Linked DNA regions of Caenorhabditis elegans. The protein of the gene in region 1 purifies or fractionates together with the protein of each later gene. This does not show direct contact. Each region holds a gene or a part of one and is shown on either strand. Other genes may lie near its edges.

Region 1 (3,754 bases):
CATTTGTTTCCCGTTACCTCTATCTTACAACTTGTTCCATAAAATTGTTTCTTCAAAAGCTAGTAATACACATTGAGCACGTATACGTTTACTATCAAACCGAAGAGTGAAAGGATGAAATCGATCGACAGTATTAATAAATTAATGATAAAACCGGAGAAGGTGCACGAAAAAGAAGAAATTGGGGAGGGCGAACATCAATAAGAAAAATACACATGATGGCGGAATTATACACAAAAAAGTGGTTAAATTTATGCCCGTGGGGCCGCGAGATCCAAGTTCTTGTGAACCATTTGCTCTTTCAGAATGAGATGGGAAACTTTGTTCAATGTATCCGTCAGTTTGTGCACGTTGCTCGCCCATACATCCAATTGCTCAACATTTGCCTTTTTCAAACGAAGATTGACAATACGGGAAGGGCGATGAAGTTTTGCTCCGGTGATCTGACCGGTAACAATGAGGTTACACACAAATGATTCCATTTCATCAACTGGGAAGTCGAGGAGCTCAGCGAGACGTTCGAAAGTGATTTGAGTATAGTACTTGGCAATCATACGCATGTTCTGTAAAAATACAAATAAAAATTTATAAATTTTAACAGGTTTTTAACTTATTAAAATTTTAACTTACGTGCTCTCCAACACGAAGGTGCAAATCAGACCACCGCTTCTCTCCTTCAGTTGATTTGTCGAAAATTCCGGTGTCTGGTGAGCTAGTTGTTCCACGTCTTAAAAGCTTCTCGTACTTTGCGACAATGGTTCCTTTGAAAGAAATGAGTTCTTGGTTGATGAAAAGATCCAGAATGATCTGAAAAGAAAACAATAATTAGATTAAATTCAAATCGCACAGCTTACCTTGTAGTCTGGAACGGTTTCCAATTCTCTTTGAATGGCAATTCGGTTGAGGAGATCCCATTGCTCGTTTGTGTGCGGAGCCAAAAGACAGTAGACAATGGCAGAACGAAGATGTGAGGTCGCCTTGGCTGAATCAGCTTTAATCTTTTTCGTCTCATAAATTTCACGATGATGACGGCACACGTCCAGATAGTTTCCATCGTGAAGTCCGATACGGATCATCGAATCGTAGTATTTCAGCTTCAGGTTCTGTACTTCATCTTCGTCTGACTTGTTGAAGAACTTGATATTGATTTTCTTAGAGATAATAGTGGCTCGCACAAAATCATTACGAACGAGAGAATATCTCATTTGCTCGAGAAGGTATTGCACCTTCTCTCGCATTTCCATGGAGCCATATGTTTCCACTTGAAGTTCAAGAAGCATGGTTGCAGCTTCGTCAAGCTTTCCCTCTCTCTCCAACTTCTTCACAACCATCGAGGTGAGGCGAGCACGTTCCACTTCCACATAGATCTTTCCAGCTGTAACAGTGCGAAGAGTTTCAATAAGCTTCATCTTGAGGTCCTCGGTTGGCATTTTGTCAATCATTGCGACAGCATCACGGACCATCTTTGCGATAGCCATTTTGATGAGAAGTCTTTTCTTTGAAAGCGTCATGATTGTTTCCATAAGAAGATCCCATTTCTGCCCTTCGAAACAAAGCTTCGTCTGCAAATATCAGAATTAATATTTTTTTTTTAATTTGAAAAGTATTATCACCATATATTGAACAACGCGTGTATTGCTCTTCATGTCAGCTCCAAGACGAGTGAGCTTTTCGATGTTGTTCAGACTCTCTACAGCAGCAACAGCGTCCTTTTGAGCGATATCTCGGGCTTTCAGAAGTGCTTCGTCGACTTGTTTCGAGTAGTCCTGCTCCATTTTGAACAAACGACCATCTCCACCCTGAAAATCATTTAATGAAATCTACAGATAAATTCTCGAAAACGTTTTAAAACTTACATGAGCGGCCAAATGAGCCAAATTGTCAAGTTCGCTTAGTTCTCCGACATCGACCGGGTCAACCGGGATCGGTTCGCGTCTGTCGGCCATATCTGGAATAACAATAATTAGAATATATAGTTCTGCTTTTTTAATTGAAAAATAACTTCAAAACCTATAAAAATATTACTTTTAAATGCACAAAAATTTTAAAGGTAGAGAGTAGAAAATAATTATTTCTTGAGTGACAATCCGCACAGCTGAAACGAGTGTTACCGTACCTCAAATCGCGGTAAGACCCAGGAGGAGGAAGACAAAAATATTTGAAAACGATTTTTCGAGCGTTTTGTCTTCATCATCAGAAATTTACCGCATTTTCAATGTTTGCCTCATTTTAAAACTATTGCTTCTCTCATTGTGATCATTTGAACATACTTATTCTTCCAGTTTTTGCTCTTTTATCATGTTTTCTCAGGAATTTTCTAATCTATGATCTCTTTGACGTTAACAATCTATTGTTTATCTCATGCTATTTTCAGATGTTCTATGCACAGTTCGTTCTCGCCAAAAAGGGACCGTTGGCAAAAGTGTGGCTGGCAGCTCACTGGGAAAAAAAGCTGACAAAGGCGCAAATCTTCGAAACAGATGTTCCCCAAGCGATCGAGGAAGTCATTCGCCCCAAGGTTAAAATGGCGCTCCGAACAGTTGGACATCTTCTCCTTGGAATCGTGAGAATCTACTCGAAGAAGACACGATATCTTCTGGCTGATACAAATGAAGCGTATCAAAAGGTAATTAAAGATAATTTAGAACGACAAAAACAAAGTAAATTTTCAGATGAAGATTAACTTCCGCAACGGATTCAGTTTTGAAGTCGACATTCCAGAGAATGCAGAAATTGAAGAGGATTTCTCAAACTTCATTGATAAGTACAATATCACAGTGCCCGAGTTCCACGATGCCGACTACAATGAGCAGCTCATTATGGTGCGTTGTATTAAAAGCAATTCACATTCAATTTAATCGCTGTTTCAGGCTAATGTGAGCCGTCGTGAAGACATCACCATGAAAGAAACCGTCAATTTCAATGTCGAGTTCAACATTGACGCAGATTTCGATGGGTTCGGTGACGAAGGAGAATCTTGGCAACTCGATCATCTCTACGGATCGGTGGAACCTTTGTCTTTGCGCCCCACTCCTCAGCCAGAATCGTTGATGGAAGTCGAACGAGATCGTGATGTGGCTGCAAATGGAACGGAAATTTCCCGTATAGATGCGGATAGTGTGATTTTCTCCGAAGGACCAACACGTCCAAATCTTATTTTTGACAATCAGGAAGGCGGAAATTTCATGCCTGAAATGAACCTGAAGGTTGAGAATCAAACACTGGAAAACGATGGTGGTGTTGGGCCTGCTGATATGTTCAGCTCAATGATTCATCCCGTCAGAGAGCATGCTGTCGCAGATGTTCAAAACGACGATGGTATGGACTTTGACTATCAACCGTTCGAGCCTGAAAACGTTGAGCCATCGAGACCACAAAGTCCCGAGTCATTTGCCCTGGAGCCTCTAGATGTGGAGCACATGGAAGGACGGAAAAAACGTCAGAGAAAAGCGAGAAAGCTGATTGTCGATGCTGAAACTATGATTTCAAACGACGCTTTCCGAGAGCAACAAGAAGACTTCTCCGATACGATGCGAGTAGTTGAAATGGCGCCTCCTACCAGAAAGATGTTCAATTTATGCGTCAGCGGAGATCTTCAACACCTCAGCCGTGAACCTGGATGCAAAATGTTCAACAGAGAACTCCTTCAAAGATACAGGAGATGTTTGGTCACCCGAGAGTTCGATCTCAATTACACCATGCAAGAGTTGAGCGATAGTTCGAGTTTCACTCCGTCAATGGAAGCTCAAGCTGA
Region 2 (3,754 bases), on another chromosome or scaffold:
AAAACTCGTTAAAGATTGAAGTAAATGGGATTTCAAACACAAGAGTATATGTAAAGACTTATATTAAAAACATTACATCAATAAATTTCATTAAAACTTCAAACCGGAACATGAATTAACGGCGAACAAGTCATTTTTGAGGCAATAAAATACTGTATTGGAATAATTGAGATGAAAAAGAAACAAAAAATTGAATAGTCAAAGAGATTCAGGATATACAGATCAATCTAAAGAGCCATTTCCTCAACACGCGGAGCAGGTGCAACAGCCGGTTGCAGATATTTCTTGAGACGGCCAATCAGTTCTGGATCAGCTTTGAGTACTTCGGCGCTCTTTGTATTCTCCGACAATTCAATGATTCGATGAATAATTTGACGTTTGCGAATTTCGTATTCTGGATTATCTTCTGATTTATCGTCCAATGCCCAGTCAATGAATCTGAGAAAAAACAATTTTAATAAAAAATCTCGCATAAAAATGTCGTTAACATACCCCTGGAAAGTGATGAACTGATGAACAACTGATGGATATGTGAACAACTGTTGCCAGAAATCATAAATACAATTCTTCATCTCAGGGAACGGCTTCTTAACATTTCCAACTGCTACATGTGTCAATGCTTTTCCACCGAGACGCTCGTACCATGTTTCAGCAATTTTTTCAGTCGCTGAAATTATTAATTTTCAAACATTCCACATAACTAAATAAGCTCACTATTCTGGAAAAGGAGAGTGACGGCCTGAAGAGTTCGACACTTCAATTCCATTGTTCCCATCGTACATGCAGCACCAGCAGCTCCCAAAGTATTCTCAAGATCTTTTGAATCTGAAACAATATGATTTTTAATATCTTGCTTTTGAAAAATTTGGAAAATACCTTTGAACATATCCTCCAAAGTTTCTTTTGCCTCGACAGAGAAGCACATACTGGCAAAATGATCGAAAGCTCCAAGACGACTGACCACACTCAATTGATCGAACATTCTGATTTCGAGCATGAGACGCCGTGCAAGATCAGGGAAATATTTAAGAACTTGTGGGTAGGAACGAGCCATATAACACATGAAACGTGTTCCGTCTGTTGATAAAAATATTGTTAAATATTAATTGAATGAACTGGTAACTTACATAAATACATTTCCCCACCATCTGGAGACTCCTTCGACCATTCCATCAACTCATAAATCTAAAGGAATAACATTAAAAAAACAAATTTATTGCAAATTCAAACCTTTTTGACGATTCCCAATTCGTACAAAGCCTCTGCATTCTGTTTTCCACTAAGTGCAATATCAACGAAAGTGTCCAAAGCATCCAGTTGAGCAAGAACATCTTGAGTATCTAGAACACTTTTAAGAATCTTGTCGTAGAGCCAATGAATGCATGAAGTGTTAGATGAAATGCGAGCTCGTTCAGTAGCAATCTGAACAATTTTTCAATGAATTATCAAATTAAGAATTCAAATAATTACGGAGTAAATACGACTTCTAATGGATGAACTTTCTCTTCCATTGGCAACACTCAGCTGCGATTTGAGCTCTTCATTAATCAAGTCGTGATCCACGAGGTGTGCCATCAGACGTCCAACTTCCTCTCCAGCTTCAGCATCTGTAACTCTTCGAGCAAATGCAACTCCAATTGCAACCGATGATGACTTCAAAAGGGAAATCGCTCCTTCCTTCTCACGGACTGTGCGGACTACATGGCGAAGAATATTCGGATGTGCAGATGGAATGAATTCGAGAAGAATTATCTGTAAAAGATTGAGATATTACAATTTTTATTAGAATTTTTTTTTATTAGATTAGAATAGTCTAAAAATTGATGTCAGGTACCTGATGATCGACAAGAAGATCTTTGGTTGAAATATCTCCAATAATCAATTTTACAAGCTTGCTGGTGCTGAAGTCATCAAAATCAGCAGCGGCCACGTCATCTTCTGTTCTGAAATAATTTCATTTTGATACTATCTGATATTCATTTAACGTACTCCATTTGCTGAGCCGCTTCAATTTGCATCTTTGCAAGTTTTTCCAGAATCTCCCATCCCTTTTTCGAACTGCGTTCTGCGATGTAATCGTTTCTCCACTCCTGAAAAAAATTGGCTTAAAATTGGAAGAAATTTCAATAAAACCTACTTCGATCAGTTTTTCATGTTCTTCCAAACTAGCCATCTGGAACGAATACGGTAGGAGGTAAAAATATTAAGCAAGAAATGAAGATAAGCTGGTAGTTAAACCATCATAATTTTAAAAAAGAAAGAAAGACATATGGAAAGAGCATGGAATTTAATTGAAAGTCGGTTTTACCCGTATCAAAAAAGAAGTTAGACAGTGAATTTTCAATAAAGTACAAATGTTAGATAAGTATGTTCAAATAAATAACTTAAATTAAATGTTAAAGCTATTTAACTGGTTTATAATGTAGAAGAAGCTCTCCACTTTGCTTCCAATAGAGATGCTTGACTGTTCGCAAATCCATATCCGGCTCCAACCTCTGATCATTGCAGTACATTTCCATTTTTGTATGAATTTGATTTAGTGGAATCGAGCCAACTGTAATATCTTCAAACACCATTAATATCTTCTTATTTCTAAATACCTTACCATCATTAGTGCTGAGTATTTTTTCGTAAACATGCTCCATCACTTTCTTAACTTGAAGCATTTCAGTTGCTGACAGACGATCTCTGAAAATAGTTCAAAATTTTAATGAATGAACCCCGCGTTTTCACAAACTTTTTAGGCTGTTTGGGATTTGTCGACGGATGTGGAAGAAGATAAAATGGCATTTTATTGAATTTCGGCAGCTGATTTCGTTCGATTGCGTCTATAACCCACATGGGTGCAATTTGTGCCAGCTCATTTGCTTCGAACTCCTTCCCAGCGTCGCCAACAAGAAGACGGTAGAGCGGACGACCATTTCCTTCGCTGAAATTAGTTTTTTTAATGTTTAAAATTTGAGCCTTCAAATAATTTTACCAAATAATAAGCGGTGTGTGTTCCGGTAGAGAAATAAAATTCAGTGTTGCTTTTTGCACATCATCTGCATCAGCTGCATCAACATTTGTCATTTTACAAGGTGGCCATCGTTCGAAGAGTGATCGTAGCATCATTCCACCGTAATTCACTATAATTTCTTACAAAGGAATGAGAAAGTTTTTATTTTCGTATAATATCTTACGTTTTGTCTCTCGATCATTATCATCAAAACCTGCGTCTTTTGATGAAAGCCACGAGGAGAGAGCGTCCAGCTCGTCCAAAGTGATTTGGAGCATCTGAAATCGAATAGGGTTTTATTTTTCAAAAATTTATAAAACTTAAAACTCACTCCACTTTTTGAATCAACGACAAACCAGCTTGGAATGTATACTTGCCTAGAGTTCTCATCGACAACTTCTTCAAATATTCGCTTTCCATAATCTTTTATCTGAAATTTTATCAAAATTCAAGTAGTAACTTTTAATAATGGGGACAAACCTTTCTTGCTGCTAAAACATCATATAGCGCCACATTTCCATCCGAGTCTCGTGTCAAAACGTGTCGTTTGTCGCTCAACATGGCATGTTTCTTGATGGCAGGAGCGCCTGAATAAACAGATTAAAAATTATATCTGCATATAGTCTGTTTACCAGGAATAACGAGCTCTGGTGTGCTCTGTTGTCCTTTTTGATCCTTCACTCGGATATACTTGAATGTTACTGGAGGTGATGATGAAGCTGATACTGAGTGATTTGCATTTGAAGTTGAAGGACC
Region 3 (3,754 bases), on another chromosome or scaffold:
AATTCAATTTTGGGCGCTGCTTAGACCACAAACTACAAGATTTGGGCGCTGCTAATTCAATTTTGGGCGCTGCCAAGACTACAAACTACAAGATTTTGGGCGCTGCTAATTCAATTTTGGGCGCTGCTAAAACTACAAACTACAAGATTTTGGGCACTGCTAAGACTACAAACTACAAGTTTGGGCGCTGCTAATTCAATTTTGGGCGCTGCTAAGACTACAAACTACAAGATTTTGGGCGCTGCTAATTCAATTTTGGGCGCTGCCAAGACTACAAATTACAAGATTTTGGGCGCTGCTAATTCAATTTTGGGCGCTGCCAAGACTACAAACTACAAGTTTTTGGGCGCTGCTAACCCCATTTTTCTTGCAGGAAGACGCCATGACAACATATTATCGAATGAAATCTAGAAAACTGGAGCTGGAAATCAAAAAATTGGAACGAGAACTCGGCGAGGAGCAAGATGAGGCCCAAGAGCACGAAGAATAACCAATTTTTAATCTATTTTCCACAAAAGTTTATCCCGATTTCTCTTTTATTGATTTTCTGTACAATTTTCTCATCCGAAATAAATCAATTTTTTTTAATATTTCATTGAATTCAGCGGAAAATCAATAAAAAATAGAGTTTCCCGATTAATCTGATTTAAATTCCCACGCAACGACGCTCCGAAATCCCGCCAACGCGCCTTGTTTACCGTAAATCGACACTTCATTTTTCGACGAATTTCTCTGATTTCTCACCTATTTTCATGGATATTGCCCCCATTTTTCGTGAAATTTTCGATCGTAAGTGCTTAAAATGATTGAAAAATTTAATTTTTGATTTTAGAATTCAGTTCTGACAATATATATCGCTCATGGCACAAAATATCCCAGGAAATTCGAAGCGGCGATGAAAAAGAGCGCGTTTTCCGGTTGATTGTGAAGATTTCGATGCAAAAACTTGATACATATGAAGCTGGCAAGGAGGTGAGTGTGAAATTCATCAAAATTTGAAGAAAAACGTCAAAATTTTCAGGTAAATCGTGAAAATCCGCAAATTTCGGCGCAATTTCCCGATTTTCTCTTCAAATTTCTCCACGCTTTCCAATTTCTGCCGTCAGATCAGCAAACCTTTGCGAATTCCATGTTCTTGCTGAAAATAATCGATTTATTCGGTTCGGAATGCCCGAAAATTATAAATTTCTCTGAAATTTCATATATTTCGAGGCTTCTCGAGCTTGCCACTAACGTAAGTGGTGATTTTTTGCCGAAATCTTTAATTTTTGAGCTAATTTCAGGTATTATTAAAGGATTTATTCGAAAACTCGGTGAATTTATACCCAAAAGACGGGAAATTCAGGAAAATCGGCGCCCGGGACCTGCTCGACGGAGTTGTGATGTCAGAAGAGCCGGAAGATGGGAAATATAAAGAAAAATCGTTTTTAAAGATGAAAACGAAGGTTTTAATCGATTTTCTGAAGGAAAAATGAGTAAAAATTCGAATTTTCAGCTAATGGAGCTCGAGCCACGTGGAAATTCGGATTTTGAGCGGAAATATTTGGATTTTGAATCTAAAAATGTGTAAATAGTACTAAAATTTTAATAAAACGGGTTTATTTATTGATTTTATCGTCTTTTTACTGGTTTTCAGCCAGAAATCTTACTTTTTCCACTGTTTTCCTAATTTTTCAACCTTAAACTCCACACATTTTCAGCCAAAAAAATGGGTAAAGTGTCAAAATCACCCGGAAAGGGCGAAAAAAGGATCGGAAAAGTCGGCAAAAAAAATGGAAAAAGCAATGCTCCGACGGAGGGCTCCAATTCTGGAAAAGCTTCACGCTTCACAATGTCCGAAAGGAATTTGGGATTGATGCAAGAAATTATTCGAAAAGATCCGGAATCCTATAAAGAGGTGCGAAATTCGAGAAAAAACGAGAAAATTCGCGAATTTTGGGTTAAAATTGAGTAAAAAACGACGAAAAATTCGATTTTGGGCGCTGCTAAGACTACAAACTACAAGATTTTGGGCGCTGCTAAGACTACAAACTACAAGATTTTGGGCGCTGCTAATTCAATTTTGGGCGCTGCTAAGACTACAAACTACAAGATTTTGGGCGCTGCTAAGACTACAAACTACAAGTTTTTGGGCGCTGCTAACACCAAATTTTGCCAATTTTCTGCTAAAACATCACTTTTTTCAAATAAAAATTAAAAATACATACATTTTTCGACTACAAACTACACTTTTTCATGAAATTTATCGATTTTAGCTCTAATTTATTAATTTTTTGCAGGAATTCCTCGAACAATTCAACTATTTCGTTCAAACAATGAAACTTCTCCACTTGCAACCCGAACAATCTCGTCAAGAAATGCAATCTCTCGTCGATTCGGTGCTTTTTCTGTCCGGATTGGCGAAACATTACCCGAAAGAGTCGAAACAATTCTCCGATAGTCTTTTTGAGCTTTTGAGAGAGCAAGGAGCTGGTTTGGATCCAGAAGTATGTGGAAAACCGAGGAAAAATGCGAAAAATTGATAGAAAGACAGGAATTTTCATCGAAAATGCGCCCTAAATCGATTTTTTCTTCATAGAGTGCTCAATATTTTGGGAAAAATTCGGAATTTCTGCCGAATACTTAGATTTTGGCTCAAAAATTCAGAAAATACTGCGTTTTTTCACTAAAAATTGCGAAATTGTTTCAAATTTCCGAAAAAAGGAAGCAAACATTCAAAAAACCAGAGAAAATTAAAAATTTCTTTATAAATTTCTTTTATTCTGAAAATTTCCAGAAAAATCAATAAATTTTTAGTAGAAATCAATGAAATTTCTGAAAAATCGATAAATTTTCAGAAAAGTCGATACATTTTTAGAAAAATGAATGAAATTCGAGAAAAATCGATAAAATTCCAAAAGAATCGATAAAATTCAAGAAAAATCGATAATTTTACTGAAAAAACGATAAATTTAAATCTATAAAAATCAGGAAAAATCATAAAAATTCGAAAAAATCAATAAATTTTCAGAAAAATCAATAATGTTTCAGAAAATTCGATACATTTCCAGAAAAATCAATAAAATTTTAGAAAAATCAATAAATTCCCAAAAAAATCGATAAATTTTCAGAAAAATCAATAATTTACATTTTTGGAATTTTCCGAAATTTTTTGGCCAAAAATTGAACAATTTCAATGTTTTTCTAATTAAAGATCCAATTTAAAGCGAATTTCCGCATTTACTGTTGGAAAATTTCGATTTTTTCACCGAAAAAGTGCCAAAATACCAGAAAATCCAGTTAAAAATTCAATTTTTTCACCTTAAAGGTGGTGTAGTCGAATTATTTTTATCGCCTTATTAGACTCAAAATTGTCTAAAAACACCGAATTAATGAAACTTCTTGAAAACTTTTTAGAAAAAAGTTATGATGACTCAAAAAATGGTCTAAAATTCGTTAAAATCGGAAATTTGACTTGTCAAGCGGCTGAAAACTATTTTTTTTGAAATTACCGTCAAATTTTGAGTATACAAGTTGATTATCTTGTGTTTTCAACTTGATTAAGGTATTTAAAAGCAGATGGACAGCGAGATTTTCAATTGTTTTAAACAAAAACTCGCCGTCCATCGACTTTTAAATACCTTAATCAAGTTCAAAACGCAAGATAATCAACTTGTGAACTTAAAATTTAACGGTGATTTCAAAAAAAAATAGTTTTGAGCCGCTTGACAAGTCAAATTTCCGATTTTAACGAATTTTAGACCATTTTTTTGAG

What was found.
Region 2: the proteins of rpn-5 (region 1) and F35G12.12 fractionate together in Caenorhabditis elegans (co-fractionation; one large-scale study listed by BioGRID). This does not show direct contact.
Region 3: the proteins of rpn-5 (region 1) and pro-3 fractionate together in Caenorhabditis elegans (co-fractionation; one large-scale study listed by BioGRID). This does not show direct contact.

Annotation. Positions count from the first base shown.
Region 1 is NC_003280.10:4,696,347-4,700,100, forward strand, and holds rpn-5 (PCI domain-containing protein), read right to left. Parts: upstream 1,949-3,754; 5' UTR 1,947-1,948; coding exon 1,857-1,946; intron 1,800-1,856; coding exon 1,614-1,799; intron 1,563-1,613; coding exon 855-1,562; intron 808-854; coding exon 631-807; intron 564-630; coding exon 252-563; 3' UTR 75-251; downstream 1-74. Other genes in the region: scc-1 (Sister chromatid cohesion protein 1), read left to right, coding at 2,375-2,626, 2,673-2,822, 2,871-3,754.
Region 2 is NC_003281.10:4,580,214-4,583,967, reverse strand, and holds F35G12.12 (26S proteasome non-ATPase regulatory subunit 5), read right to left. Parts: upstream 2,174-3,754; coding exon 2,138-2,173; intron 2,091-2,137; coding exon 1,990-2,090; intron 1,944-1,989; coding exon 1,835-1,943; intron 1,753-1,834; coding exon 1,471-1,752; intron 1,423-1,470; coding exon 1,231-1,422; intron 1,186-1,230; coding exon 1,128-1,185; intron 1,078-1,127; coding exon 877-1,077; intron 826-876; coding exon 715-825; intron 668-714; coding exon 493-667; intron 439-492; coding exon 228-438; 3' UTR 75-227; downstream 1-74. Other genes in the region: wdr-48 (WD repeat-containing protein 48 homolog), read right to left, coding at 2,403-2,688, 2,738-2,929, 2,981-3,128, 3,183-3,276, 3,330-3,428, 3,479-3,585, 3,631-3,754.
Region 3 is NC_003283.11:19,116,359-19,120,112, reverse strand, and holds the start of pro-3 (Protein SDA1 homolog), read left to right. Parts: upstream 1-1,700; 5' UTR 1,701-1,708; coding exon 1,709-1,897; intron 1,898-2,279; coding exon 2,280-2,486; intron 2,487-3,754. Other genes in the region: bed-1 (BED-type domain-containing protein), read left to right, coding at 374-490; Y39B6A.13 (RsbRD_N domain-containing protein), read left to right, coding at 753-789, 833-972, 1,022-1,234, 1,284-1,445, 1,496-1,570. UniProt on the Caenorhabditis elegans protein: Required for 60S pre-ribosomal subunits export to the cytoplasm. Required for normal somatic gonad development and for regulation of germline development and proliferation.